Struthio camelus: one gene and its partners. The protein of the gene in region 4 interacts with the protein of the main gene of each other region in a pairwise test. Links are inferred from orthologs where the notes say so. Each region holds a gene or a part of one and is shown on either strand. Other genes may lie near its edges. The genes, in order: LMO4, NTAQ1, NDOR1 and MTUS2.

Region 1 (7,487 bases), on a different chromosome or scaffold from region 4:
CTCAAAGGAGTTTAAAGGTGCTTATGTAAATATCATAATTAATCAGATACTAAAGGCAGGCATTTCATTATGTAGCACCTCTGCCACAGCCTTATTTAAGCCCTACGATTTTAACATTTACCGTTCAGATATGCACGCTTCTCCTTCAACACTACAACAAAGCAGATTAATTTAGCCTCTCTGATTGCTGTTTATTTTTAGTTAGGACTTGTTTTGTGCTGACAAACCACTTTAAAGTTACAGTCGTCGTTCCGCCTGCCCCCCCTCCTTCCCTCCGCTTGGCAGCCACAACTGCGCCCGGGGCGAGGAGCGAACGGGGCTCCCCGGGCTGGCGCGGCCCCCGCTGCCCGGGCAGGGCCGACCCGGACCCGGGCACGCTGCTGCCCCGCGCCGCCGCCACTGGCCCGGCTGCCTCCTGCCTCCACGGAAGCCACGAGGCGGGGGGGGGGGGGGGAAGCTTTGCCCGGCTGCCTGCCCGGACGCCCCCCCCCCCCCGCCCGCGCTCACCTGATGTAGTCGTTTCTGCAGAGGATCATGCCGCTCTTGGTGTAGCAGGACGTGCCGATGTCCCCGAGCTGGGCCTGGCAGCAGGAGCACTTGAGGCAGCGGCTGTGCCAGTAGCTGTCCATGGCGTAGAGCAGGAAGCGGTCGGCGATCTTCCCCCCGCAGCCGGCGCACCTCTTCCACGAGAGGGAGCCCGCCGTCACCGGGGGCGGCTGCGAGCTGCCGCCGGGGTTCACCATGGCCTGCGGGAGAGGCGCGGGAGGGAGGCGGGTCAGGGCGGCGGCGGCCGGCGGCGGCGGGGCGGGGGGCGCCGCGCCTCGGCACCTCGCGGGGCGGCGCGGCCCCGCTCCGCGCTGCTGCCTCCGCAGCTGCACTCGGCGAGTTAGGAACAGTCCCGGGTTTTGTTTTGCTCAGAGAAAAAAAAAAAAAAAAAGTATGTGAGGGGCGGGGGGGGGAAAGAAAAAAAAAAAGTTGTGAAACTGGTTTTTCAGTCTAGGAGAGACTCTCCAGGCGGGGTAACGAGGGGCTCGGAACCGGCTGTCCAGACGTCGAGGTTTGGGGTTTTGGGGTTTTTTTTTTTTTTTTTTGAGATACAGAAAACACCCAGAGAAAACACTCCAGACCGAGGACGCTGGCCCGAATAACAGATCATTGAACTTTAGGACGCCTGTTAACTTCCTATACAAACATACTCAACTTTTGTCTCGCTAATCTGCCCTTGATCAGCAATTTAAACGCTAAAGCTTTGTTACTCAAAAAAAAAAAAAGTTTAGTGACCATAGGAAAGCAGCAGGATAATGAAGTGCACCGCTCAGGCTGCAGTTAGTCTGGCTGCCTCCAAAACTGCTAGTAAGGGCATTTTTCACTTTCTAATAAATGCTTGATGCAAGCAGGACAACTCGGAGATAATATAGGAATCAATTCATAAAGCTTACTCTAAACCGATTAATTTGTTGCCTTCAATCCAGAGTCCAATAAACTCCTGGTGTTCCTCCAGTCACTTATACTATAAAAAGATCAAGTTATTTACTGCCAATTAAGCAGCATGTTTTGTCTTTGTCCTTTGTAAGCCGTGTGTGCTCATACCGAGGCATCCGGCTGGCTGCGGAGGACGCTCGGGCTGATACCTCCGGAGCAGCGAGGCGAACTTTCCTGCCACCGGCCCAACTCGGCTCCAGCAGAGCGAGAACTCAGGCCGATTTTAAACACACATTTCCTCAGAAAGAGTTCCTGAAGGTACGTCCAGTGACCGCACAATAAACCAGCAGAACTGCACCAATTAAGCTGTAACAAAAACCCCGAGACTTTGGAAAGAAAACCACTCTAAAAGCCATTAGCATTGCATTTATCCGAACGCATCATATACCTTTATGTAAATTGATTTCTGATGCATTTGTTCAAGGAATTGCCTTTTGTTACAGTTTCCAGCTACAGCCTAAATGAATCTGCATTTCCTGCTCTGAGTCTTTAAACCGTTTCCCTACGCTTTAAATCACTCCGGATTTCTTAAAAGAAAGAAAAAGACTCCATGCTACCACATCACCCCGTCTTTGTCGAAGGCAAATATATATAAAATGGGAAACGTTACACCGAGAAAACCATCCCGTAACCCCATTAAGCTAAAGCTCTTAAGGACAAGCAATACCTTAATGCTGATTAAATCTAAAAAGATGAATCAAGAGGACTGACCAGAAAGTGACTCCCTTGATAACTAAGGACGGGCCCTCATCAAGTTTCATTTAGAGTTGGGGGGAAAAAAGCTTTTAACTTAAATAGGCTTACTCTAGTAATTACACAGCCAAGCAATTTAGGTCCTGGGATAGGAGTCGGTGAAATAGAAAGCAGAGCTCGAAGCTAGAGGCAAAATAACCCCCCCTTTTAACAGCGTCTCTGGTGCTTTTTTAATGGAGACCAAGGGAGGGACAAGCGGAGAGCTGGCAATTTGTAGTACAAAAATGGATGCTTAATTCACGTCTTGGTTTTAATTAGGTGATTCACCGGATTTCTCCTGGATTGAAACAAAAGACCGTGCGGGGGGCAGGAAGGGAACGGGAGAGGGGAGAAATAGAGAGCTCACTTTGATCTTTTCTGCCACTGTTTCAGCACAGTGTTTACTACGGGCGAAGCGGGCGCCCGGCGCTCCCCCCGCCCCTTCCCCTCCGCGCACAACCGCGGCCGGCAGAGCCCGCTCCCCTCCGCGGCTGCGGACAGGGGCAGCAGCCCGAGCCGCCGCCAGGCTTTGTACGCGGGGCCGGCGACAATGCCCGCGGCTCCCCCCGCGCAACGCCGCGCCGCGCCGCTCCGCGCAGCGCGGGACGGGGCCGCGCACGCTGCGATAATACCGCCAGTAATCGCCAGCACTCCTTACCTGCTTCCCCTCTATATTGCAAAAGGCCGGGGAGCAACGCCGCTCGGGGTCACCCAGGAGGTTTCCGTGCCACGAGACAAACCCGCCGCTCGCGCTCTCAGCGGGCTCCGGGAGCGCTGGAGGGGGCCCCCAGCCCGGCAAGTGGCAGCCCAGGCTGGAAAAATATAGATACTGCTACGAGCGGCGTCTGCCTGGGTCCTTCCTCCAGCTCGCACTTCCCGGAGGGGAGCTGCAGAGCTCAGTCCCCGCCGCCGAGCTGCACACGCAGGGCGCCGCCGCCGCTCGCTGCTGCAATCGCCGGGTAAGTTTGGCAATGTGGCTTCACTTTGTATCGCCTCCCCCCCGCCCCCCCCACCACCTCCGCCCCCTCCTCTGGGCGCCGGCGGCTCCCGAGCCTCCCGCAGCGAGGAACCGGCCGGCCGCGGCCCGCCGACGCGCCCCGGAGGAGAGGGCGAGCGGCGAGTTTGAGAGGGGCCGGGCGGGAGCTGCTGCTGCCGGCGATCCTGTGGCGGCGGCGGCGCTGGCAGGACTCAGGAGGAGGCCGCGGTGCGCGCGTGCGTGCGTGCGTGCGTGAGTGAGTGAGCGTGTGTGTGTGTGTGTGTGTGTGAGTGCGCGAGTGTGTCCGTGCGGGCCTGCGCGCCGCGCCGCCCCGCGCTCGCTCTGCCCGCTGCCCCTCACACATGTGTTACTGACAGAGCAGAATCCCAACTACACTCCAGCTCGGCTCCCAGCGTCAGCCCGCCGCAGCCAATCCGCCCCCGGCTTGTTCAGGCGGAATAATAAAACCTGCCAATCCCGGGGAAGACAAAGGAATGACTGAAAGAGGAGGAAAAAAAAAAAGAGCGGAGGGTGGGGAGGAGGGGGCAGAGGAGGAGGGGAATGGAGAGGAAGGAGGGAGTCAGGTGGGAAGCGGTGGCCGCCGCCGCCGCCCGGGCGGGCTGTGGGGAGCGGCGCCCGCGGCCGTTGGGCGGCCGTTAGGGCGCTGCTGGGCGGCCGTTAGGGCGCCGCTCGCCGCCGCCCGACCCGCTCCCGGCCACCACTTGAGAAACTTGCAGGCGAGGGGCCGTGGCGGCTGCCCGTGCCTCGGCCGGCTCCCGGGCGGCGGCGGAGGTGGCGGTGGCCGCTGGAGCCGGTGGCGGAGGCGCGCCCCCGCGCAGGCCCGCGCCCGGGCCCCGGCCTCGGAGACGGGCAGGCGGCCGGCCGGGAGGGAGGGAGGGAGGGAGGGGAGCGTCCAGCTCGTGTTTCGGGTAAAATGGGCCTGGTCAAGCCGCTGACGTTTGAAAATCCACTCGCTGAAACCAGCGGGGAGTTGTGCTTAAAAATGAGTGTCAGTATATACCCCGCTATTATTAGTACCCTATAAAAGATTTAAAAGGGTTAAACCGCTGCAATTGGCTGGCAGTTGGCAGCGCTGCTTGTCATTCGGAAAGACAACTGCATTTCTGGAAAAGAAGCCAAAGCGTGATAGCAAACCAGAAGTAATACTCGGTAGTGACACAGTGGAAAAACATGTAGATATATATATATATTACTCGCACGTTTCTGAGGCCTAAGCAGAGCCCACACGATAAGCAAAACCCAGCACCCTGTAACAACCCCTAGCCCGCTGGAAACAATGGAAGTATCTGCAACGAGAGGGCGGTTGGCCGGTGCTCGCCAGGTCCTGCAGGCCGCCGGGCTGGGCCGGACCGGACCGCTGCAAGGACGGGCCCCCGCCGGGCACGGCCTGCTACCGCGCGCAGGCCTGCCTCCGCCGCGCAGCACGCGCCAGCGGGTCTCGCAGAGCTAACTGCAGCTAAAGAGTCAGTTAAATTACACATTTCCAGGATCCGTTAAACAACACAAAACTTGGTGATGTTAGTTTCTTGATTCCAGACCGCTGACGTAAGGAGCAGCCAACGCAGGGAGAACAGTCGGACTTCACTGTGACTGCAGGAGGGGGCAGGCGGCTGCAGCGTGTTCCCAGGGACTAACGCGGCCGTGCCCGACGGGACAGGGTCATCCTAAATGGGGACGGGTCGCTGCACGGCTCGCCTGGTGCAGTTAACTGCTGTTGTCAACTACCCGTTTTATGGCTGCAGCGTCACTAAATTACGAGTTTGTGTGGGTGCGCTGCCTCTCGATTGCTGAAGGCAACAAAATATTTTAAACCTGCTCCTCTTACAGTCTAGTGTAGAAGCGATGTGCCGGCACAAGTATCTGAAATTCTAGCCAGGGAAATTTATTTACAAATATATGCGTTTGTACTAAGAAGCAGACCAACTTCCCTCTGACAGCCCGACTACTAAATCTTGTCTCTGTAATCAAAATCCAGGTGTACTTTAACCACAGCGCCACCTGTGGGTCTCCTTTATTTCTGCATCCCTGGCCTGCAGGGGACTGAGGAGAAGAGTGCCCAGTAACCAGATAAAATTTATTTAAAATATGTCCAGCTGGGAAAAATGTACCTGGGAAAACGTAGGACATCATAGATGTACTCTGTTTTTATTATATATCCAATAAAATATTAAAATTTGAGTAGCACTATAGGTATGATTTAAATATAGGGGAATACACCATTTCTTTCTCCATAGACAGGGCTATCTGAAGAATCTATACATAAAGTAGACAGGGAGCGCATGGCAAGCTTCCACGAGGGAAGGGGGAAGAGGACCAGCACTGTGGTTAAAAGTAAGTGGTGCATTTTTTTTTATCATATGTCTATGCAATATGTCATCTGGATGTAATCTCCAGATACATATTACATTTAAACATATTCAGCAGTTTCAGATTTGTCATTTAGGATCTGTTACAATTTAAAATATATAAAGTAACAAGACGTGCTACGGATAATCAACTATCACTGTTATTCTAGCTCTCTGACAGCTAAGAGCACAAGAATAGAGCAAACGCCAAGCTAAAACAAAGTCTAAGCTGTCTAATTATTTAAGGCTATAATGGCTGGAAGCTACCAAATTCAGGCTCTGGAAGAACCTTCAGGAGCTCTTCTTATTGGAAGAGATACTCTACCAAGAAACTGCGCCATAGGCACTACAATGTTTACTAGTCTTGCAACTGATAGTGATAAGAAAAATGGGAATTACCTCTTCTGAAGGAGCAGAGTTTTAAATGGCTTAATGACATTTTCCAAATACCATTATAATGTTCATATCTTTTTCTGAAATCTAATCTTCACTAATTTTTGTGATTAATTTTAACAGAGGGAACCTTAACTGAGAGCATTTTGCAGAGCAATATTTTTCTAATTTTTCTTTTGTGCAGCATCTGCTGTTGCTGTGCTGTCATCTTCGTTATGTTTTTCATTGTCTATGTGCCATAATGTAATTAGTTAGTTCAACATCATCTGTGCTATTAGATGAGATGTTTCTATGGTAAGTTAACGTAGTTCTGAGTAATTGGTAGATTTCAGCAGTAGGCACGAATGTATCCATCAACTTTAGGTGTATTTTAGTCCGCAAGATTCAAATTCACTTGGCATACTTCATCCTCAAAGACTGTTAATTTTGGCTGAATGGATAAAAAACACAATGCAGAAGAAAATCTGGCTGCTTATATTGTGGTACTGTTGGAGTCAGGGAGAGGAAAGCATAAAATTGCTGGCTTAGTAGAAAGTTGCAATCTGAAGGTCTGGAAAACGTTTCAGCTTGTGATCCAAATCGTTCTTAAACCTCCACATGCCACTAAGATAGCTGATAGTCCAGAATTCACTGGGGTTCTCTCTCCATTCGTGAAAGGAGTCTTAGTTCTCTCCCCAAATACTGCATTCCTATGGGATCTCAACTGTCTTTTCCTTTTCTCGTTAGAAATGTTGAGGCTGCCACTGTGTTGGGAGAGCTTCCATGTTGCACTTTGCTAGTCTGTGTCTTCCAAACTCTACCTTTTGAACAACCATTTCAACTTTTAACGCAAACCCTCTAGTCTCTTTGGAAGCAGTGATGAAAAATCAACAGCCACTTGTTATTTTAAAATAACACACCCTTTTGCTAGCATAAGATCTTCTGTTTTAGGATCTTAAACAAATTACAAATGTGACTAAGTATTCAAGTGGGCTATCTAATGATATGGGAAAGTGCACATCCCCTGCAAGTTGTGAAGAATTCTGCATGGCTTGACTCTCAGCATTCTTTTTCAAACAGCAGACAGTACTTTTCACCCCAAACAGCAAGATAACTCACTTTTAGAAAAATATGTATAAATTTTGACTTGCTAGTAAACACATGAGTAACATTATTTACAAGAATCCAGTTCCATGGAAGGTAGTTAGGAAGGACAGTTTATTTAGGTAAGAGTTGGTAAGGCCCTTTTATCATCACTGTATCAATAATTTAGTACAGGGGCCAAATCATATAAATGTCAATAATTACAGATACATATTTATATTAACAATGGGGTCTACTTAAGGAAGAGCTAAAGCTATATTTGTAATGACCTCATATAGCTAAAACGTCTATTGGAAGCATTGATATATTACCGTTAGCCATGTGTAGCAGACAGTCCCAAAAGTGAGTTCTGTGACTAAAGTCAGAGATAGCAGAGTTTGAAATTACATATAATTTATGTTTTAAATTAAAAGTCTCTAGAGGCTACTAGAATATGCATATTTAATAAAAAGTTC
Region 2 (7,664 bases), on a different chromosome or scaffold from region 4:
GTGTAATAAAAATGAGCTTGAAGCTGTGAAAATTCTGCAAGCTATTAAAACATCAAAGGAAAAATAGCTTTCAAGCTATACATTTAAATGGGAAATTAACATTTTGCAGCGGCCTCTCCTGACTCTCCTATCTCCTATTTCATCATAGGTCTGCTTCATAACATTTCGGGCCTCTTTTTAAACTAAACCTTTTTTTGCTTTATAAGTATACCAACGTCTTGGGAGTCTGCTAAACCATTTGAAGAGTAATTCATTCTCTCCCAAGTACTTTGTCACTTTTTCCCAAACAAATCCTTCCCATTCTTGTGTGATAAGTGTCACATCTCTAAAAGTGTTGGGATCTGTAGCATAAATTCCAACTTAATCTTCATTTCCTGAAACACAGAAATCACCACACCAAACTAGAAGAATGTTTTTTCAGTACTGGGTAACTGAAAGAACTCTGTAATGATCCACATTTAAAAGGAATTCTATAATGGCAATTACTAAACTACTGAATTACTGTTCATTGCAAATGACGTTCTAAAGCCAGCACTTGCAGTAAATTTACATGCAGACTCCTGAAGACATGTATTGCTTGTCTTTTTCTATGCTATGTCAAGCGTATGTAGATATTTTCATTCATCTACGTCTTAAAAGAATATACATCTATTTCTTAAAATTCTACAAAGTTGGTGGCTTCAGAAGTATATACACAGTAATTTTCACAGATTTGTTATGCATTCTTACCAATGTTTGCCATGCGTCAATTTTACTGACTGCTTCATTGTTACTGCACTACAGGCAGTGAAAGAGAGAGCCAGACTTACAATGTTTACGTATCCGTTGTAGAAGAAGAATAAATACTAGTATTGTGTTGTTAATATAGAACTGCAGTTTGTTAAAGATATGGCTAACACTGCCCATGTCTGATTTTGCAGACGCCAATTAGGGAAGCATATATTAACAAAACCCTAAAAAGAACACAAAAAGCACAAAATACTTTACCCAGACGACAGGATCATCTCCACGTCCCGATTTTTGCTTCCATAGGGGAATCTGAAAGTCATAAAATACTTTGACTGAAGATTAACACAAGTAGTAGTTTGCCAGCGAACCCATTTCATTAGCTTACATCTGTCCTGCAACGAGAAAAAACTTGCCCAGTGTCGCTCTTTTAGCGGCACTAAGCTGCAGATAGTGTTCTGGACCACGTAACGTACTCATTCTCCTAAACCAGGAGGTTACAGGGAAGATGCATTGCATTTTGGGTTGCCCCAAAACGCATCGGATAGCCATGGGATCGATCGCCTGTGCGGCGGCCTGCAGGTCCCGCACGGGGGGGACACCGCACAGGGGGACCCCGGGGCCTTTCTGGCTGCAGGGCCGAGGCCGGAGCTGCTCCACGGCTGCCTTTAACCACGACGCGCCGACTCACCATCCTCCTGTCATTGGATATGAAGACAGCGTAAAACTCTTCCAGAGGGTATTGATCCCGACTCCTGATGTAGTCGCACAGCTTCCAAACGTTTTCTTCGCTGTAAAAGACAAGGGTTGGTTTGGGGGTTTTGTTTTGTTTGTCCCCTCTCCTGCTCGCAGTCTCGTTTCTAGTAAGGAGCGCTAAGCCAAGCACTGATGTCTGCCGAAAGCCTCCCGGCTCGGGCTCGGGTCTCCCGCCTGCCTGCAGCGCGGCCCGCGGCCCCGACGGCGCCCCCCGCCTCCCTTCCTCCGTGATGCTACGCAAAACCTCCAAGCTGGTTTTGCTTCTTCTTCTTCTTCTTTTTTTTTTTTTTAAACAAAAGGCCGAGCCCGGGGCTGCCGCTCGGCTCTGCGGCGCGGGGAGCACCGCGGCGGCGGCCGCCCCCCCTTACCAGTAGCAGCTGGTGTAGGCGCAGGCGGGCCGGGGGGGCACCGCCGCCTCATAAGCGGCCGCCGGCCGCGCCATGGGCGGCCTTAGCCGGCCGCAGCGGTGCTCTGGCGGGGCGGCGGCGCAGCATGGCCGGCGGCACGGCGCGGCTCAGGAAGTGCTGGCGGCAGCGGCGGCGGGGGAGTTACCGGCTATGGCTTCCGCGAGGAAACGCGGCTGCTCGGCAGCGAGGGGGCGGCCGGCCGGCCCGCGCCGGTAGGGAAAGCGCCCTACCGCCGCCATCTTAGCGCCCCCCCGCAGGGCGCTTCCCGCCGAGCCGGGAATAACGGGCGTAACATGGCGGGCAGGCCCCCGGGAGCGGTAAAAGCGAGTGTCAGGCGAGAGCAAGAGGGGATTTTTATCGTCCTGGGGGCTGGCAGGGAGCACAGACAGGGTCGCGGCTGCCTGAACTCACCAGATAAACGTTAATGCTGGATGCAGGTGCTTGGTGTGGCCTTCTGTCCCCTTTTTGGCTGCAAGTGGAAAGGGGTTTTTGAACAACAGGCTGACCTTGGAGGCTGGTGGGTGGCAGTCTGGCCTACCGAGGAGCTCCTCGTGCTTTTCTGTCCTGTGCCAGGGGTATGTGGATGTTTTCATCCCTCTGCTCCTTGCAAATACAAAGCTCTTGCGTCCAAGGCAAGTAGAAAAACTGAGAAACACTCAGGGGTTGCTTAAAGTGGGGCAAAATGGGTCAGCCTTTCATGAAACGTTCATGTGACAGCTTTGGGGGAGTGCTGGAAACAGGTAACGCTTAGAAATGGGGAGAGCCAAAAAGGCAGAAGCAAGGGAGCTTGCTGGCATCACTGCCTCTGCCTGCATGGACTGACTGTGTAAGTACTGCTAACGCCTTTGACCCAGCGAAGGGAATTTTCCTGTGCCCAAATGCATAGCGGCCCTCTCTCTGCTGTTTTGTGCTTTGGATCTTGCCTAAGCACAGGTGATTCCTGCAAAACATCTGTTCTGCAAAATACAAGTTGACGTTAATAGGAGGGCTCCTACAGGGAGGAGGGAAAGTGAGAGAAGTAACTTGCTGTTTGCAGGGTAACAAAGCAAGCGCACCTCCCCAGTGCGTTTTGAGTCTTCAGGTTACTTGATCCATTTCTGTTTTCTGCTGTTTCAGGTGCAGCTTCTGTACAGTGCATGTTTTTCAGGCACGCTCGGACCACCTCGAGCTTCTGCAACGTCTTTTTGTGCCGGTGAATGGCCTGAACATACACTGCTTTTTGCTCTATTAGACCCTGTGCACTGCCGAATGTCAGCTTTTGTTCTCTGCTTACAAAACACTTCTGTGCAGATAAGCCTAGGGTGATTCACCCAGTAGGTGAAGATAATGCTGTCTCCAGGGAAGGTGCCGGAAAGCTTGAGGTTTTGAGGTTTGATTCGTATTTTGTTAGCATTTTTTTTCTTTTCCAAACATGATGCTCCTGAAAAGCTGTCTTCGTGTGATAATCTCTCATTCTGATGAAAAAACTCTGGTGTAGAAGGTTTTAATAACTGGAAGTCAGTTATCATCTCTGTACCAACCAATTAGAAAGCAAACGTGCATGCATTTTAAAGCAAATATGTGGAAGAAAACACTTCTTTACTGTGGGGGTGGTCAAACACTGGGGTGTGTTGCCCAGAGAGATTGCGGGGTCTCCATCTTTGGAGACGGTCAGAAGCTGACTGGACGCAGCCCTGGGTGACCTGCGCTAGGTGACCCTGCTTGAGCAGGGGGCTGGACTGCAGACTCCAGAGGTGCTCTGCAACCTCAGCTGTTCTGTGCATTTTGGTATTGAATGATTGCCTTAAGCCTTTACTGTTGTTTTTTTTTTTTCCTTTAGTAGGAGGAGGAAAACAAAATGGGGGCGTTTTCCCTGTTAAATACAACTTCAGCATTGACAGTTTGGAGTAACACTGGCTTTGGATATGTGGTAGGCCATGTAGCGCTGCCCTGCCCTACTAGGGTCCCAAAGAGTTAGGGACCGGAGTTTCCTAAACTAGGAACCTGCAGTCATCCTACGGCTTTTCCAGGGAGATCTTTGAGCGTGTCGGAACAGAAAACCCGAGGTCGGGCCAGGGGCGCTGCAGCCGTCCGCCCTGCGCGCCTGAGGTGCGGGCGCCTTTAAGAGACTGCGCTGAGAGAGCCGGCCTTCCCCGCCCCCGCCCGGCGGGAAGCAGCGGCGGCGGGGGGGGGCGGGCCCCGCGCGCGCCTCCCAGCCAATCGGGCTCCGGCAAAACAACCTGCTTCGACTTTCACGCGCCAAAAATATCAAAAGGCCGCGGCGCGAGCTGTGCCCCTCCGCCATCGGGGCCGGGACTAGCTGCCGGAGAGAAAAGAGGCCGCGGGGAAGGCGGGGCGGAGCGCTCTCCGCCGGGCCAGGCCGGGCTAGGCGGGGGCGGGCAGGGCAGGGGGGCGGTGACGGCGGGGAGCCGCGCTCGCCGGCGGTGCGGCACAGCGGCAGGGAAGGGCAGGGGGGACGCGGCGGAGGGATCCGAGGGGAGGGCGGCGATCGCGGCGGCGCGCGGGCTGTGGCGCCAGAATTCGGAGCGGCGCCGCGCGACCCCAGGGCCGCCTCGCGCCGCGCCCGGCCCGGCCCGGCCCGGCCCGCCATGGTGGTCCTGCGGAGCAGCGGCGCTCAGCGGCCCGGCCCCGCGGCGCGCGACGGCGGCGGCCGCCGCCGCCGCCGCCCGCCCTTCGACCTCATGGACTCCAGCTCCGAGTTCCTCTCCCTGGAGTCTCCCCCGCTCGGCGGCCGCCGCGCCTGGACGCGCTCGGGGGCCGCCCAAGGACCCAAGGGCGCCGGGGGGGCGGCGAGAGCGGCGGAGGAGGTGAGGGCGTGGGCGGAGGGGGGGGGCAGGGCTGGCCGCTGGGGAGGCCTCGGGCTTGGAGCGGGGGCCGCCCCGGTGGAGGTGGCCGTTGGCTGGGCTGAGGCAGCCGCGCGAGCGGGTCCCGGGGCAGGGCCGGGCCGGGGAGGGCGTTGTGCTCGGCAGGCTTTGAACCCGCGGGCGCCATTGAGGCAAAGGGGGCAGTCAAGGCCCCGCCGCTTGCCCGAGTGTGGCCAGGTGGTGCTGTGCGCTCGGCTCTGCGGTGTAGGCCGCAAAGAACACGTCTGCGAGCCTGGGACTGCCTCCTGTGCGTCCCTCCAGAGGTAACCGAGCTTGTCATCCATCCCTCTCTATCGGTGGTAGAAGTAGAGCTCTTCCACTGTGTAGGCAGTATAGAAGCACCGGAGATAGGGGTCTCGTGAACGGGGGAGGGGGGAGGAGGGGAAGAGTACTTAAGGTAAGGTCGTATAACGATTGAGTTGCTGTATATGAAAAAGTTACTCCGTGTCTGCAAAGCCACAATAAGAACTGCTTTTTGCAGCTTCCGAATGCAAAATGTATCAGTTTCGGTCTCTAAAATTGATTTATTTTTGCTTTGAAAGGAGGGGAACTTGATGCAACCCACCGCTGGCCTGGGATACTAGTGATAGCTTGCTAAAAGACAGTAATTTGGTTGCCTGCAGCTGTGTGAACAGGTGTTTTTGCATCCCCTTAGAATTTGGTATGGTGCCTTTATTTCCTATTCCTAGGTTATTTCGATTAAATTTGTTACCTAAAAAATCATCTTGGAAAGAGCTTGGAAATGTTTTTACTTCAAGATCATCGAGGTGAAGTTTATAGGGAGGGTGCTTATTGTTTGGATGGCATACGTGCATCAAATATAATGTTTGACACAAAATATATTTTATTTGTAACTGCACTCGAGCTGAATATCTGAAGTGCCTGTGAGATATGCTCCAATGAAATATATATAGTTACCGCTTTGGATGCTTTTAAAACAAAGCTGTGTTTAAGAATCAGGGTTACTTTGTACTTAATTAAAGTGCTTATTTGCGTAACCTAAAATAGTGAAAATTCTGCTTATTTTTGTTAATAACCTAGGGCAAGATGCTAGGAGAAGAAGTCTCAACGTGCACCATTTTAAACCAGATTAAGTACTCCGTGCTGTCTGCATCTCAGTGTTGCTACTATTCATAAGTGAACAATTTCACTTTGAGAAGTTTATTGCTTTTTAATGTAGCTTTCAAAAGCTGCGAATCTTCCCTGGTCTTTCCAAGTCAGGCTGTTCTCAGTGGGGTATTCCTCATTTCCATGGCAACTAAGGGCAGACCAGGTCTAAGTCAAAACTTTGGTCTGATCTTCAGGGCAGCCCTGCCTTGAAGTGATGCTTGTTGTGCACTCTGTTTCCTTATAGCAGAACTATTCCAGGATTTGTGGTTGGTTTTTTTTTTTGTTTTTTTTTTTTTTTAACGTTTGCTGAGCTAGGAAGGAAGAAATCCTTGGGGTGCTTTTTTCTTTAAGCAGATTCCATATCTGCTTACAAAGATTGCTACTTTGTTTTTGCGGTGTATGCTAAAAATGGTTGTCAAAGACAAGGAATTCTGTTGCAGGTGGGGGAAGGCTACACAGGCAAAGAAAGCAGCTGGCACACGTTTTCAGTACCTGGAGAACAGGAATGAGGAAGTTAAATGTAAACTTTTTACTAAAACCAAAGCAGAATGATTACTGATCATTGCAATTGGTTGTAAGATTTTTCCTTCTTTCCTTTTTTCCCTCCTCTTTTTCATAGACCTTTCCTATGTTTCAAGTTATGGAATCCTTTTTGCTTCCTTTGTAGGTCAGTGAGGCTTTGCTGGAGCGTTCTAATTGCAGAGACAATGTAGGGTTGCCCTAGATGACAAAGATGATGATCCTGGTCTTGGCTGCGTGCTCAAAAGTCTTAATTTATCTTCCTTACTTGTTGATGTGCAAGGACTTGCTGGCAGCAGCTCTTGCAGGTTTTCTGATACCAGGGAGCTATTCAGGTTATTTCACCCGTATGGAGTATGCAGCGTATGGTAGAAAGACTGTTAAACTGAACAAGAATCTGATGGGTTATATTCTCTCCTGTTTCCGGTCCCAAGGAAGATAACAGGTGGCAGTTGTCCCTTTGGAAGCTGTGTATCTACAGGTTTTAACCCTGGTGTAATTACCCGGGCTGAACAATGTTGTACGGTGACCTGTACTTGAGGCCTGTGTGCTCGAGTTCCCTTTTGCCTGAACAAAGCAAAACTTGCACTTGGGCAGGCTGAGTCTTCCTTGACCCCTCTCTGTAGAGACTTCAGCACTAGAGTTCACAGCCTTGTAGCCTAAGCATATTTACGTGATGGCGCTTTGACGTGTAGTTTACTTCCTTAGAGATATGAGATAGCTGCATGCAGTTTTTGTAAGAAGTCTTTTAAAAAGCAATTGTTAATCACTTCATGTGGCACGAGGAAAGTAACAACTACTTTCAAAGTTAGAAATACTTTTCAAAATCCCTTTTTTCAGTTTCCTTATGTTTTAGATTTAGCCTTATTCTTCTATTTGATCTCACTTTTTGAGTGCTCCCCTCCTCTGCCCCCCACCCCCACCCCAGCCTGATCTGGCTGATAAGAGCCTGTTACTATTGCTCTGCTGACAGCCTGCTGGAGTTACTCTGGTGTTCTTGGTGTTTACAACCTCATTGAAATGGGATGCCATCCATATGAATGGAAGACAGTCAGAGTTAGCAATATCCACTGTTTCTGCTTTGGCTGTATCCTTTTAATTTGAGTCAAGATGAAGACAGCACAGAAGATAAATATAACAAGTAATTGTATTGTGGACAGAGACTTAATTTAAAAAAAAAAAAATAACAACACACAGAAAGTCATTATACTGCTTTATCTAACCTGTATGGTGACGTCTTCCGAGTGTTCATTCTTCCTTTTAACTGGGCTTTGGCCCGGAG
Region 3 (7,237 bases), on a different chromosome or scaffold from region 4:
GGGAAAAGTGACTCCTTTGCACAAGGAGTGAGTCCTGGGAGAGGGGCAGGGCTGGGTCCATGCTGCAAGGCAAACCTTGCCACCCCTGGCCACGCACACAGCCCTCACATCCCTGTTGAGTACAGCACCCCACGTGCCACAGCTTGGGACTGTGCCTCCCTTGTGTCCCCCAGACACACCTGGGAGCTTGCCTTACCTTGGAAAAGCAGAGCTGGGAAATGTTGGCTCCTGGTTGTCCCCAAAGATAGCCACAAATTGCCGGAGGAGCTGCCGGAAAGCTCGGCAGCTGGCAGCCTGAAGCTGAATGCAGGTAGATGTTGCATTGGCCCCCTCTGTCCTGGTGAGCAGTGGCATCCAGCCAGCCCTGGGCACCACACCCCTGTGACATGGCTGTTTGTAAGGTTAGGTCTCTGTTCCTGCTCTGACAGTCCCTGGCAAGCCAAGCCATGGCTCAGCAGCAGGAAACTGCCCCTGTTCCTCTGCAAAGCATTGCACCAAGGCTGAAAGATGAGTGTTGGAATTTTTGAGGGGAGGAGGTTGCCCCATCTTTGATTTAATTAGCTGAGTGCCTGGAGAGCTTTGGGAGAGTCCAATAGTAGTCCCTAAAGCAGCTCTGCTACTGCCACATCCTGAGTCAGAGGCTCTACTGCTTCTCCTGCTCCCTGCTGTTCACCTCAACCTTCACCTATCATACGATCCCTCCTCTGGTGCTCTGATTTTTTGTGCCCTTCAGCAGACACTGGCAATCCCATCAGATCATCCCAGCCTTGCTCCCCTACAACCCCCTATTGCAGACAGGCCTTACCCCCCAGCTATCTCCCTCCCCAGGCTCACACGAGCAGCTCTGCAGCTGCTGGTGATGCAATATCTGCAGCTTGTACACTCAGAATGACTTGTCACATCATGGGCACAGCTGCAGCACAGGGACACCAACAGCAGGGATGAAGTCACAGTGGCCTGAGGTGGAAGAGGATAAGGAGTAGCCAGCTGCCCTCCTTCCAAATGATGTGTCCTTGGTTTGCTTTAGCTAGACCCAAGTGAGCAAGATGCTGGCTCCCAGCAGACAGAGCGGACAAGTGTATGGGGACATTATGGCAGCACCTGGATGGTGCTGAAGCCTGGAAAACCACATAACAAAGTGAAGCAGGAGCTGAGGAGCTTCTGCGAGGCCAGGTCCTACCTAACGCTTGGGTCCCAGCGCCACCTAAGGGTGCACCAGGACGGAGAAAAATGGGTGATCCTATGCTGTGCTTTCAGCCTCAGACCCTGATGCCAGGCCAGGATAGGCCATCTAGAGTCACTGGGCCAAAGCTGGAGCCAGATGTGACCCGAACGGAGGTGAAGCTTTGCTTAGATTCAGTATCCATCAGACTATCTCCAATGGCTGCAGCAGAAAAGTAAACGATATGCATTACTGGATTATGACGACAAATTATGTGGAATTATGCTCTTTGTTGCTATTTGCTTTCCTGTGCCACACCACCTCTTAGGCTGCATGCTTGGATCTGCTCACAAAGACTAAGAACAGGACTTTTTACTCCAGCTCCAAATCAAGAGCAGCCCCTTGGGAAGGTGTTATTTGTCACTTAACTTTTCCTCTAAGTTCTTTTCTGTGCAAAAATTCTCTTGCTCAACATGCTGTGAAAAGGAGACTGACCTGTAAGTCAGACCACAGATTTCCCCAAGCCTCAGCAAGCTTTGAAGCCTGCAGTTCATGCCATTTAACAACACAGCAACGTTTCTAGCACTCCTTGTGCAGGGGTCATGAGGCAGTTTGTAACACAGCTCTTTTCCCCAGGACTCTAGGATTTTTATTATTACTATTTTTTTTTTTATTTTTAGAAAAGCATCAGACCTCTCACCGTGGATAGCTTTTTCAAGAGAGAACCTGTTAAGGGAATATCCAGTGAGATCTGCTCTGAACTCACAGCCACAAGTTTATAAAATCAGTACACTGGAAAAATAAACTTGGAAAATTGGTCCTTTCTTACCCGCATGCTTCCAAAATGCTAAAAGCAAATACAAGTTACACAAGAGGCTAGGTAACTACAGATTTTCTAGATTTCAGGTATGAAGCCAGAGAAAATCTGCTTTATGCAATTTGAAAAGCACCTGACTTTGTTAGATTACAATATAGTCCCGCACTGTGGCAATTCTCAACTTTTTCTTAATGCATGCTCTGCTGGTTACATCCCACCTCATCTCCTGAACTTGAGTGGTGTATGCAGCAGTTCTCCATTTCAAGATCCTATCTCCATGAAATGTAAACCTGAGAGCAGCAGAGAACACATGATGATACCAGTAGCTAGGTAGATGGGGCAAAGACAGGGGTGGGTCACAGAGCACTGCTGAGGTTGGAAAGGAAGCCCATGACTGCTGGGAGGTGTTTTCCGATAGTCGTCATCATTATAGTACAGAGGTCTCTAAAATCCATTGTCAAAAGGAGAACAGTCCTCTGGACCTGGGCACCAAAGTAACGTTCAATGTCTCATAGATAGGTAAGAGACAGATCTATAGCCCTGAATATCCTCACGGTCGGAGCTAAATGATACTAAAGTGTCTTTTGCAATGGGGGTTCGTTGTGAACCTAACAATAACTTGCTGATCTCTATTTCCCCTAGAAAGACTAAACTACCCCCATTTACGGTGGGTCATTTCTAGATATTTGAGGACAGTGTTTCACACAAAAGCTGTGATTCAGTGAGAGCCCACCTTCAGAAGCAGCTCTTCATGCTCCTGCTCTTATACTTTGCCCTCCCAACACCTTTATATTTTGGGAATAGATCTGAAATACAAAGAAAAAAATATATACTTCTGTTCCAAAATAGACATCAGTGCCCTCTGGCTCACAGTACAACCGCACAGAAAATCTTGCTGGCAATGTGAAGGCATGAAGTATTGCTCAGGGAAATGAGAGGAAAAAACGGGAATACATTACACTAGGATTGTCGCTGAAGAAAACACGTTGTTAAAACCATGGCCTCAGACTGGTCAGGGCAAGCAAGATAACAGCTTCATTGTTTAAGGCTAGTAGCCATTTGAGTTTTACAAGGATATCTACAACAACTAACCTCCAAATAATTCTTATTCTCCAGGCAGCAGTTTCAACTACATATACTTTCCAGGGAAAAAGAGTTGTATAAATAAAACTACACTATCTGTACATTTTTATTTTAAATTAACTGGCATATCAAACAGTGCTTGCATATCAGGATATATTAACATTAACATCAAGAGCTGAGTGAACCTGAAATCAATGGCGCTGTATAAAAAAGATCTTTTGAAGAAATGCTGAGCTATACAACATAATAACGTAATCTGGTTGATTACAAACTCTCTTCTCATAACACCAGACCTGCATAACCTAACAACCAATATCACTCTGTACAAAAACAAAAAAAGGGCAAAAGCCCAACTTAGCAAACTTGGAGCTCAGGGCTCCCTGGTGGCTCAGGCAAAGCTCTATCCAGGGTAAGAGGCAGTCATTTGGGAGCCTTTCCCTCGGTATCAGTTCACCCGGCAGGCTCGGATCATGAGCAGCTGGAGGAGGATGAAGACGGGTGACATGATGAGCCCATACCAGAGCTCCCGGGTGTGCTCCACCAGCTTCTGACACAGGAGCATCTCAAAAACAAACTTCAGGCTCAGGATGGTGAGGATCCAGAAGAGGCGCAGCACGGCCAGGCGCTTCTCTCCGTCCTGGAAGAGCCGCACGGAGACAATGGTGGTGAAGTAAGTGCTGAGGCCGTCGGCGGCGAAGAAGGGGATGAACACAGTCCACCAGGAGAGCATCGAGCCTTCGCTGTCCACCTTCAGGACGAGAAGCACGGAGAAGACCAGGAGAGCCAGGAGGTGCAGGAAGATCTCGAAGGTGGCAAAGCCCAGCCATTGCACCAGCTCACGCAGGGAAAACAGCATCTTCCCGGGGGCCCGGCCTGGCCCACCGCCACCGCGGGCACACGGGCCCTGCCGGGGGGACAGCGTCAGCCCGTCATGCCGTCAGCACCCCGCAGCCCGGGCCCGGCCCTGCAACCCCGGCCCGGCCCGGCCTCCGACCCACCCCGCCGCCCCCGGCGCGGTCCCGGCCCAGCCCCGGCCCCTGACCCAGCCCCCGGCCTTAGGTCCCCGAGCCGGCCCTCCAGGCCCCGCCGCCGCCGCCGCGCACCCGCACCCGCGCCCGCGCCGCCCATCAGCCGCCGCCCCGCCGGCAGGTCGCGCCAGCCCCGGCGGCGGCTGATGACGTCGGCGGAAGCGGAGGCGGCGATGCCGGGCGCACGGTGGGTGCCGCGGCCCCGGGGCCGGGCCGGGCCGAGCCGAGCCGGGCCGGGCCGGGCCGGGCCGAGCCGAGCCGAGCCGAGCCGAGCCGGGCCGGGCGCCCCGCCCCGTCCCGTCCCGTCCCGTCCCGGAGCCGCCTGGCCGGGTGGTGCGGTGCTTTGGGAGTCGCTGCTGGGGCCCCGCCGGGCCTTCCCCGGTCCTCGCTGTCCCTCCCCGGCAACCACCGCCTCTCCGCTCGCAGGGATCGGCACCGGGGTGCCCCCCCCCGGGGCGCCCCTTCCCTCGGTGCCCCCCCCCGGGGCGCCCCCTCTTCCCTCGGTGCCCCCCTTCCTTCGGTGCCCCTTCCCCGGGGCGCCCCCTTCTTCCCTCAGTTCCCCCCCCCGGGGCGCCCCCCCTTCCCTCGGTGCCCCCCCTCCCTGGGGCGTCTCCCCCTTCCCTCAGTTCCCCCCCCCGGGGCGCCCCCCCTTCCCTCGGTGCCCCCCCTCCCTGGGGCGTCTCCCCCTTCCCTCGGTGCCCCCCTGAGGTTTTCCCTCCCCTAGGGTGTTCCCCCCTCCCACAGGTGCCCCTTCTCCAGCCCCCTTGGCCCTCAGGAGCCCCCAGGCTGGGTGAGCGGTGGCCGATGCTGCCCACCGAAGACCCCGGGGCTCCCCAGACCGGGGCGGTCACCCTGTGGCAGAGGTCCCCCATGCAGGGTGGCCTCCCTCCCCCCAGGGCTGGGAGCTGGCTCGGGCCCCTGCGGGCGCTGCTTGTTGGCGGTAGGGTCTGCCTCCCGCTGCGAAGGGCAGCGCCCCGAGGGACCCTGAAGCTGGGGTGATGGGGGACCTGCCTCTCCTCAGTGGGCGGTTGTGGCAGAGACGTGCACAGGGAAAAGCAGTTCTGTTCCTGGAGCTGAGCGAGCAGTGTGCATGTCCAGAAGGGCACATAGGATGTGCCAGCTCTTCTGGAAAAATCCATTCGGCTCTGGGCAAGGGGAAGGTCCCTTGGAGCTGCAGCCCCTCTGCAGGAATTGGTCCGTAGAAAGGCCAGTAGTGTCCCCTCCTTAGTTTTTATCAGCAGCTTTTCTGGAAGTGGTACACATTCCCCGTAGGGGTGCGGTAAATTTGCGGCTCTGGCATCCTGCTGGGTTGAATTTCCTCTGTGCTGTGATTTCCAGTAATACCTAGGCCCCTTGTTGCTGGGTGAGAGCAGCACAGGAGGCGTCTTCTCCTGCAGTTGAGAGCACCGTGTCTAGTCAAACTGAGCTCCCAGGCTCTGCTCCTGCCTGCCTCCCCTCCTCGGCTGTCAGGTCTCATGGCATTAGGGGAAACAGATGTGTTAAAATGGGAAACCTGAAGACTGATTCCAAGGATGTACTGACCGCAGGTGGGGAGGCCAGCTAAAATGAGCTAGAATGTGAAACACTGTCCTTGGATTTTATACCCCCAACTCATCCCCCTCCCTTTGCCCTGGCAGCAAGGACAAGGACTGTCCAAGTACTGTCACTCCTGCTCCTACAGACAAGGATGCTGGGTGAAGAGGGTGTCACCTACTCAGTGCTCTCTGAGGATGGAAAGAGAGCCCAGGAGGCTTGAATCCTGACCTTTTCATTGAACTATTAGACTATCTCCGTCCTTGCTGTTTGCCAAAGTATGCAGTGTCTTTCCCCCAAAGTACACTTGATTAAAAAGCTACCAGAACTCCTTTGAAGCCTGGGTAGGTTTCAGGGTGACTGCTAGCCCAGAGCAGAGAGAAGTCCAGCGTTACCTTCCCTTACCTTGCCTTAAGTCCCCTCTTGATGATTTCTTTGGTACTTTCTCTTTCAGATGGCAGAACGGACTCTCCTCGTTCTTTTTGGCAGCCAGACTGGGACAGCTCAGGACACAGCTGAGAGAATTGGCAGAGAAGCCAAACGACGCCACTTTCAGTGCAGAGTGGAGGCACTGGACAGCTATGATGTGGTGAGTGGTGATGCAGAGAGGTGCCCCAGGCAGTTCTAGTCTTGCTCCATCTCTACCAATCCCATTTCTAGGGCTCAGACATCTCCCACCCTTGCTATGACCTCCTATATTTCATAAGATCATGCCTCTCTGTCCTCCCTGAGGGCAGCTTGTGCTTAACTCAGCTGAAAATGTGAAAACTGAGCAGTGACTCTTGGGATACAATCACTGTTAGATGACAGATGCCCAGCCTTATCCAGTGTTTCATCAAGCGCACTTCCTACAAGGCAAGGAGCACCAACGATCTCTTGCTGCAGGCAGTGTGTGTGGGGAGCAGATGACTGTACAGTGTTGTCAGAGGAGGATGTGCCATGCGGGGGCTGTGGGTTTATGCCAAGCGTGGTCTGTCCATGAACTGAATCTAACATGATCAGCTGGGTCTGGCTAGCTAGGGGCATATGTTTGTAGGCTGCTGACCTGAGTGCACCTTTCTATGCTTGTCTGTGCACAGGCGAACCTCATCAATGAGCTGTTGGTGGTATTTGTGTGTGCAACCACGGGCCAGGGCGACCCACCTGACAACATGAAGGTAGGATGCATTCCAGTCTATGTTGCTTTTATGGATCTGGTCCTATGACTGGATTTACTCCTGAGCAGCTTCAGTTATGGATTTCTTGGAGTTGGAGGCTTTGAAACAACACCAGTCATCCTTGCAGGGTAATGTCAGGTGGATGCTGGCTCACTGAGTGGGGCTGAGAAGCATCTCCTGTTGCTGGTGGGATGTGAACAGCAAAGATGGTGAGATTTCAGCAGCTTAACAGCTAAGAGGAGCCCCTGCCTTAGCAAGAGCCTCAGATTTGTGGAGACCTCACAGGGCATCATCTTTCTGGCAGGTAGCACTAGCAGCTAGCTTCAGGGATTGCTTTTGTAGAATAAGGCACTCTAAGGTTACAGCCACTGGCTGAACAGACATACTCAGCAGAGGAAGCTGCCAGGCTGTGCTCCCTGCCCTGTCAGGACTCGGCAGGAGGGACCCTGTGGAAGAG
Region 4 (7,842 bases):
TCTGCCCGTTGCCTCTTGTCCTGTTGCACCACGGAGAAGAGACTGGCCCCATCCTCTTGACACCCCCCCCCCTTCAGATACTTGTGCACATTGATCAGATCCCCCCTCAGTCTTCTCCAGGCTGAACAGGCCCAGCTCTCTCAGCCTTTCTTCATAGGAGAGATGCTCCAGTCCCCTAATCGTCTTTGTAGACTCCAACTCAGGGTCCATTTCCCCTCCCTCCGTACTGTTGCTGAGTTTTCAAGCAAATATCTTTATTCAGATGTCCATTATAATGCTTGGATCTTTCCACCTCCAGAATTTTCTATCAAATGTAAAAACAACCACTGTATGAGCTGTTTAAATTAGTTTTTTCCTCATTCTCTATTGTGCTTTTCTTCATTTCATCTACCATTTTGTTAGAGTCAACATTTCAGACCTTGCAATTCTGTCCTGTGATGATTTCTGATGTAACCTCCATTAACTTACAAATTAATAAATGTACAATAAAAAATCCAAATTTTTGGCTTCTAAACTTTTAAAATGCCAGAAGACTACTACTCACTGAGTAGTGTATCTCCTGTACAGCCTATGATGTGCTGTTGTGCTTTACAGAACCTGGAGAATTGCACTTCTGTGTCAGGTTAAATACAGCAGAAGTGTTGCAAGCTCTCCTCTCTCCACTATACTGCTAAATATCAAGTACTGCTTACCATACTATAGATGTGTTTTGTATAGAAATATACTTCAGATATATTTAGGCCAAGAGGCTTAAGCTATCTTCATGTGTATTACAATCACTAATACAATAGATAACATCCTACAAAAAAAAACTTTGCTATATTAGAAGCCTTGTTGTAAAGGTAAGCTAGCTTTGTATCTGACCCAAACCTACATCTGTCATTTTCAACATCTGAAATAAATCTAGATTAGTCACCAAATCTCTACTTCTGTCCCTGAAGAGATGAATATACAGAAAATAAGTGATAGCATGTCAAAAACTACTTCATACAAACCACATGAGCTCAAGCCTTGCAAATCCTTTCTCACCCTCCTGGTCTCAGGTAGAGACTTCCAAACTCTGAGAATGGATCATTCAAAGAATCACTTACAGAACCAGCTTTTGCACATTGATTCTGTAGGGTCACAAGATAAAGCAAAAAAGTGAGAAATGAAGCCCTGTCTTCATGCACATAGCTTAGTGCTACCACTCTCCTGCACCACAGACTGTACTGCTCTCCTTACCAGACTGCAGAGATGGAAGGAGACAAGTAGTGAGGTATATTTAATTGCAATGCAAAAGGACAGTCTAGTAAAGCTTATGCAGGAGGAGATACAGAAAAGCCACACCCCTGCTTCAAGTTGGGGGTGAGAAAATAAAACCCATAAACACTACATAGTGAAAAGAGCATAAAACAATTTCCATATGATATTACAAATGAAAACAAGGCATTTATGCATTATGTTATAACCAGTTCAGTTGGCTGCCAAGTACATCTCTAATGCAGTCATCCATTGCAAACTAATAACCTGTATGCCAACACTTGACATTTAATTATTTGCTACTGCTACTTTAGTATCAGTAAGTATTTCTAATGCTTGGCTTGCTGAGAATTTTTTTTGTTCTTCAAAGTTTTTAATACAGTAATAAATGGCAAGGGTCTTGCTGGCTTGCCCTTTTCATGTTTGGAGTGATCCAGAATTGCTGGCTGCCCAACCCAGGTGCCCTTTGGGAACACATGCTGACCTGGAGGGGGCAGGCACAGAGCACCCCCATGCTGTTGCTGCCTCCAGGAGGAGACATCAACCAGGGAAGGAGGAAGAAGCAGAAGCAAAAGTAGGAGAGATCAAGAGGCAGGAAAGTATTAAAGGCTCTGAGATCCACCTAAAAAGGGTTGGAAACTACCAATCTAGATGAACAGCTTTTCAAGCAGGGGTGTTTTATCTGAGTAGGGAGACCTGTGCCCACTGTCCTATCTTCCATGGGTTTGTTCTTTCCTTTCCTACTGAAGTTATATGCCAGTTCATAATTTACAGTAGCTGCTTTGTTATCTTTCATCATTCTTAAGAAAGAACAATGAAGTGCTATTTAACTCCATGAAAGGGGCAGAGTTTAACTGCAGTTTTAGCACTCTAGGCCAGCTGAGTGCTGTAAACTCAATACTTGCACTGAGCTCTCCACTTTCATCAACTGGAGAGTGCACAGCCCAAGCCAGAGGTCCCCAGCCCACTCCAGCACCCAGCTCCTTACCAGTCTCTACCTGATGCTGCACAGAGAGCAATGCCTACACCAGCCATTCCACTTATTACTTTCCTCAGAACTTTTGGCCAAATAGATTTGATAATATATATATGAGAGCATTTTAATAAGTAGGTTTCACACTATTATTTTACCATCTCAACACATGCCCTCACCACCGGTAGCAACGACCAGCAGCCCACAAACCTTCCTTGCTTTCAGCATTAGCATTTCCAAGCGGTGCAGCCAGAGCAGCCTGCGTTTCAAAGTACTTTCCGCCAATTTCCCTGCGCGGTGCTTCCCACGCAGAAGGCAGCACCGGGCACAGACGCCCGCATACCGGAGCGACCCCCGGGGCCGCGCCTGTGCCCGGCTCCCCCCAGCACCGCCCGGGGCCGGGCCGCAGCAGCGCCCCGGGCTGCGGCAGGGCTTTCCCGAGGGGACAGCAACCCCAAACCGGGGTCAGCGCCCCGCCCGCGCAGGGCGAGGAGGAAGAAGAGCTCCGGGCGCTGCGGGCTGGAGGCGCGGGGCACCCCGGACGGCAGGGCAGCGGAGCGGGGCGCTGCGGCTGCACGGGGGACGGCGGTGCACGGCGCTCACCTGGCTCGGCTCCGCGCCGCTGCTGCTGCTGCTGCTGCTGCTGCTGCTCCCTCCTCCCGCGTCCGTCCGCGGACAAAGGCTGCAGCAGACGCCCGCGCTGCGCAACGGCGGCAGCGGCAGCAGCGCGGGGCTGCGGGCGGGTGTTATATAGCGGCGCGGGGCGCAGCCGCCGCGCAGCGCCCGCCGCCGCCCGCGCCCACCTCCCGCCGCCGCGGGCCGAGCCGCAGCGCCCCCTGCCGGACCGCGCGGGAGCTGCGCGGCGGCGGGGCCTGCGCGGCCGCCCCCGGGGGTGGTCGCTCGGGCACCCCCCCGGCCCTCGGCTCCGGCGCCGCATGCCCTCCGCCGAGGGCGACGCTGCGGGAAAACTCCGCTTCTCAGACATTGCTTTGCTTTGGTTTGTTTTTTCCTGCTTCCGTAAAGTGCTTAGAAATTTAGGAAAGCCGCAACACTAGGAGACTGAGTGAAACGGTGACCACGGGAGAGCCGAGGTGAGCACCTGACAGGGAAAAACATGTCATGTGCGCACGCTGCCACTCTGTCCGCACGAGCAGATGAATCCCTGAAGGCATGCTTGACTGGGTGGGCTAACGGCACACCAGACGAGGCGTGCAAGCACGCAGAGGAGCACAGAGCTGCCAGAGCGAGTGCAGCCAAGGGCTGCTCAGATGATGAAGGAAACGGAGCAGCTCTCTTATGAGGAAAGGCTGAGAGAGCTGGGACTTTCCAACCTGGAGAAGAGAAGACTTAGGGGGGGATCTAATTAATGTGTACAAGTATCTAAAGGGGGGGATGTCGAGAGGATGCAGCCAGGCTCTTCTCCGAGGTGCCCAGAGACAGGACAAGAGGCAACGGGCAGAAACTGAACCACAGGCAGTTCCATCTGAACATGAGGAAAAACTTCTTTCCTGTGAGGGTGACAGAGCGCTGGCGCAGGTTGCCCAGAGAGGTAGTGGAGTCTCCTTCGCTGGAGATATTCAAAACCCGTCTGGATGTGATCCTGGGCAATACGCTCTAGAGGAGCCTGCTGGAGCAGGGAGGTTGGACTAGATGATCTCCAGAGGTCCCTTCCAACCTCAACTGTTTTGTGATTCTGTGTGATTCTGTAGTATTTATTTAAGCAGAATGGGATGCTTTGTGCTGTACAAAGCAGAAATAGAGCATCATTCCCCCAAAGGAACCTGTAACATGAGACACACACACCAAGATACAGATTAATTTAAATAATACGTATACATATAATACTTAGTGAACATTTAAAAACGAATGCATTTATAAGACATTTCTGTTTGTATCTCTTTGACCATTTTCTTGATAATTACCATAATCACGTGTGTAAATTAACATTCTGCAAACAAATAGGTGGTTTATGGAGGATTATTTAACAGGGACGTTAGTTCTTAGCCTTCCAAGCTTTCTAGGTAAAACGGGGCTCCATATGCTTTCGTTTCCTAGAGTTTAGAATATAGGTTCATGTCAGAGTCTGCCAGGGAAGTTGTAATGGTGTTTCAAATGGCATCAGGCAGAGATGAGATTTACTCATGGCAAAGCTTTCTGTTCCTTGTCTGGCTGCTCTCCAGTTCTTCTCTCCTTCTGCAAGTTTGTTTCTCTTTCACTTTCAAATGAACAGGAATTAAATAAATAAATAGATAGAGGAACAAATCTGCTCTTCTGCAAAACTTATAACTCAAATAATAATCTCCCTCACTTTTGCTATGCTTAAACCTATCCCCAGGGTTTTTACTCCCATTAGGGGACTAAGCTTTGTGAGGCAGAGTATCTTAGTTTTAAGTTTAAAACCTTATATAAATATATAGCCTGCATTATAGCCATCTGTGTGACTTTTATTATATTCCTGTGCTCATTGTTTCAATCAGCTGTTAAGATCAGCAGCAGGCATTAGATCAGATGGGAGTTTTATGATCTGTATCTAATGCTGGGCAACTCAATTAATTTTTACAAAGTCCTCTGGGCAAATCCACAAAGGCCTGTTCAGAAGGAAGCAGTGGACTGGTTCCCAGTACATGAGGCAGTCCGCCGATGCCACATGATACCCTCCCGTCTGCGAGCGGCACTGGTGCCCTGCAGAGACTGGGGTGGGGGGGGCCAGAGAACAGCAAGGAGCCCATGACCTCCCATGAGGAAGCACAAGGCAGCATGTTTCTGGCACCCTGGTGAGACCTGGGCAGCAGTGGTCACGGTCTGCCTCCGACCTGGCATATTGGCCCTTGCTTTTTGGTGTATCATCCTGCAAAAAATTCCCATACACAGTGCCCATCTGATGAGGCTGTTGTTAGGGGTCTCATAGCACAGCACAGTCAGTGTCACAGGATATATCCGCATTTCCTATGGGCACAATAGCTTCCTTATTTCTGCCTATGGATTGGTGCTCGAACACACTGTGCTTGCATCTGCCTACAGTCTGAAGTGCCAAGTACCATCCATGTGGCATGATAAGGGAGAGTCTCTTATCCTTAAAGGACCTTTCCTTAAGGTTTGTCTTCCCTGCTGAAAAAAAGCTGTATTCTCCCCTCCCTCCGGTGACTAAATGATATGCATGAGTTAAAAAGACAGCGAAGATAAAGCATCTTAGTTGGTAAACTCACTGAGAACGTCCCCACGGCTGGCATAAACGAGGACTCTGACGAGACAGGCACTGGCAGGTTTAGCTGTGGTGGTTTATGGCATTAAACCCTCTGCTGTCAGCTCTGCGGGAGGCTCCCAGCCTCCACCGGGGCAGGCAGAACAGAAGACAAGCCTTCACCTCAGAATATTATTCATGTTAAAACCCTGAATTTATCTATGGCCAAAATAGTGGGGGGAGGTCTCAGAAAATGAACCGCATCTAGGCTAAGCACTGCGCGCTCCCTCTCTGGTCAGTGCAGGGAAACGGGCACGTCTAGGGTGTAAATCTTTTCTCCCCAGCGTAGGCACTGAAATTAGCTCAGAAGTATCCATTTCCCTAAAGTGAGGTGAGGGCAATCCCTGCGTTTTTCACCTGAGAGCTAACTAGGTAATGAGGGTTTGGTTCCTCCAGCAGTGTACTCCAGTTCTTCAGACTGCCTGAAATATCATCTATGGTGAGTCGATGGAGTTTGTTTTCTTCATCAGTGGCTGTACCTAATAAAGATGTAATCACTGAAAAGCATCTGGCTCTGGAGAAATCTCACTATTCATAACATACCCTCCCTGCTTTCGTAGCAGAAAGGGAACGCTCGCTCCAGCCCAGCTGCGTGGCCCCCTTGCAGCTCCCTTGGCATGCGTGCTCCCCTCTGTTGGGACCAGACGCACTCATGCTGCCTGTTACAGAAGTGACCCCTGCACCTACCCGGCACTTCAGTCACTGATCTTCAGGAAGCCCCAATCCCACTTGTCATCTCCAAAGGCATTACTGTGTAATTGGTGATGATGGGGGCTTACCGAGGAAGACTTTCACTGTCCTCCTGTTACATTAGTACTTGAAAGGACCCACTGGCTATACCAAAAGAGCTGAGGCTATATCACAATAGCTGAGGAAGCCCAGATTGACCCAAAATGTTAATCAAACTGCCAAGACCATTCATTGTTATATGAAAAACAAATGCATGCCCTGCATTGAGTTTCTTCCCTTAATAGAACATTTTAGCAGTCAATTATCACTCAGAGCAGTTGACTTCTGATCGCTGAGCTGTTGTGCTCTAAAAGGCAATTCATGCTATTATCACACCTAATTAAAATCTACTTAGCTGTAGAATGTGGCCTCTGCTTTTATTTTTAGATCCTGTGCAGAGGTGAAATTGCTGTAGATAATTCATATAAGCTTGTTTTTCTTAAACATATGGAAGAGAGTGAATAGATATGTAACCTATACATGTGTATAGTGAAATATTTCATATGTGACTCCTCCAAAGAAGATATGACGATGCTGGTTACACTAGAAAGAAAACAAAAAAATGATGAGAAACTGAAGCAGGAGATGACTTTTATAAATGAAGGCAGAGCAATTTTAAGCACAGTTTCAAACCTAAACCACTTTGTTGATGCGTTTTAACATAAGCTCCTACAGCTACAGAGAGGTGGCAGAATAGCCTCACACATAGACCTGGAAATATAACCGAGTGAGGAGCCAAGGGAATACACCCCAGTGAGGATCCCGCAGCCAGAGCGGGGACGGTCTGCCTGTGTGTGTGCAGCTTGAAAGTGGGACTGGGCAACCACATACCATCGCCACGACATGATATGAGTGCCCTCTGCGTAGCCCTGTGCCAGCGGCGAAGGCACCGAGGGCCCCCTAAGTCACCCCTCCCCATCAGAAGGGCAGGACGAGAGGCACGGTGGACTCTGCCCTGGCTCTGCACCCAGGTTTCGTCCCATGTGCTGAAATAAGCACCAAGACACCTTCCCAGTGCTTCGCAGACTCTAGCTTCCCTCCTGCCCGCCCCAGTGCCTGCAAGAGCTACCTCGCTTCATGCCATCAAACACCATTCTTGTGGGCTGCAGCACAGCTATTCTTTATTTTTTATAGCAGAAATAAATCAAAAACAAAAGAAGAAGAAAAACACATACGCATTAACAACAAGGTCTTATTGTCTACAGTGCCTCCAGATGGGAGACCAGGGTTGAGCACTACGTAACACGGATATAGCCAGTCTGTGCCATTCAGCCTCGGGATCAGACAGCGGGCCCTGGCTCTGTTTACTGAGCAGTAAAGACAGAGCGGTGACACCAGAAGGCTGCACAAGGCTTATTTCTCCGCAGAAATAAGCAAGGGGTAAAATCAGTGTTCAGTTTTCTAGATTACTGGGGAAGAATGCAAGTCAACAAAAAAAAATACCACGCACACGGCACAGTTTGATTAGGCTGTAATGTCATGTTAAGGCTACTAGCTCCAGAAGACTTTTTGGAGGTTTCTGTCCCAGGGAGGACACAGCCCAGACCTGCAGGAAGGAGGGTGGGCAGAGCTGCACCACGGTCCCCGCACTTCAGTGGGGAGGGCTGGAGCCACCGCATGCGGGGCCCGGCACAAGCGGGACAAGACCCGGTGTCAC

What was found.
Region 1: the proteins of MTUS2 (region 4) and LMO4 interact in binary tests that used the Homo sapiens proteins (3 or more experiments, as listed by UniProt). The link is inferred for Struthio camelus from reciprocal best matches to the Homo sapiens genes MTUS2 and LMO4.
Region 2: the proteins of MTUS2 (region 4) and NTAQ1 interact in binary tests that used the Homo sapiens proteins (3 or more experiments, as listed by UniProt). The two-hybrid records come from large-scale screens. The link is inferred for Struthio camelus from reciprocal best matches to the Homo sapiens genes MTUS2 and NTAQ1.
Region 3: the proteins of MTUS2 (region 4) and NDOR1 interact in binary tests that used the Homo sapiens proteins (3 or more experiments, as listed by UniProt). The two-hybrid records come from large-scale screens. The link is inferred for Struthio camelus from reciprocal best matches to the Homo sapiens genes MTUS2 and NDOR1.

Annotation. Positions count from the first base shown.
Region 1 is NC_090949.1:20,631,991-20,639,477, forward strand, and holds the start of LMO4 (LIM domain transcription factor LMO4), read right to left. Parts: upstream 3,007-7,487; 5' UTR 2,873-3,006; exon of another isoform or gene 2,699-2,872; intron 747-2,698; 5' UTR 744-746; coding exon 508-743; intron 1-507. UniProt on the Homo sapiens protein: Transcription cofactor. Plays a role in establishing motor neuron identity, in concert with MNX1, acting, at least in part, to disrupt LDB1-LHX3 complexes thereby negatively modulating interneuron genes in motor neurons.
Region 2 is NC_090943.1:160,183,834-160,191,497, reverse strand, and holds the start of NTAQ1 (protein N-terminal glutamine amidohydrolase), read right to left. Parts: upstream 3,013-7,664; 5' UTR 2,483-3,012; coding exon 2,301-2,482; intron 2,185-2,300; exon of another isoform or gene 1,925-2,184; coding exon of another isoform or gene 1,851-1,924; intron 1,518-1,850; coding exon 1,418-1,517; intron 1,039-1,417; coding exon 988-1,038; intron 1-987. Other genes in the region: ATAD2 (ATPase family AAA domain-containing protein 2), read left to right, coding at 4,478-4,696. UniProt on the Homo sapiens protein: Mediates the side-chain deamidation of N-terminal glutamine residues to glutamate, an important step in N-end rule pathway of protein degradation.
Region 3 is NC_090961.1:12,913,790-12,921,026, reverse strand, and holds the start of NDOR1 (NADPH-dependent diflavin oxidoreductase 1), read left to right. Parts: upstream 1-4,220; 5' UTR 4,221-4,277; intron 4,278-5,428; exon of another isoform or gene 5,429-5,637; intron 5,638-6,077; coding exon 6,078-6,212; intron 6,213-6,702; coding exon 6,703-6,780; intron 6,781-7,237. Other genes in the region: TMEM203 (transmembrane protein 203), read right to left, coding at 3,508-3,918. UniProt on the Homo sapiens protein: NADPH-dependent reductase which is a central component of the cytosolic iron-sulfur (Fe-S) protein assembly (CIA) machinery.
Region 4 is NC_090942.1:200,185,753-200,193,594, forward strand, and holds the start of MTUS2 (microtubule-associated tumor suppressor candidate 2), read right to left. Parts: upstream 3,013-7,842; 5' UTR 2,819-3,012; intron 1-2,818. UniProt on the Homo sapiens protein: Binds microtubules. Together with MAPRE1 may target the microtubule depolymerase KIF2C to the plus-end of microtubules. May regulate the dynamics of microtubules at their growing distal tip.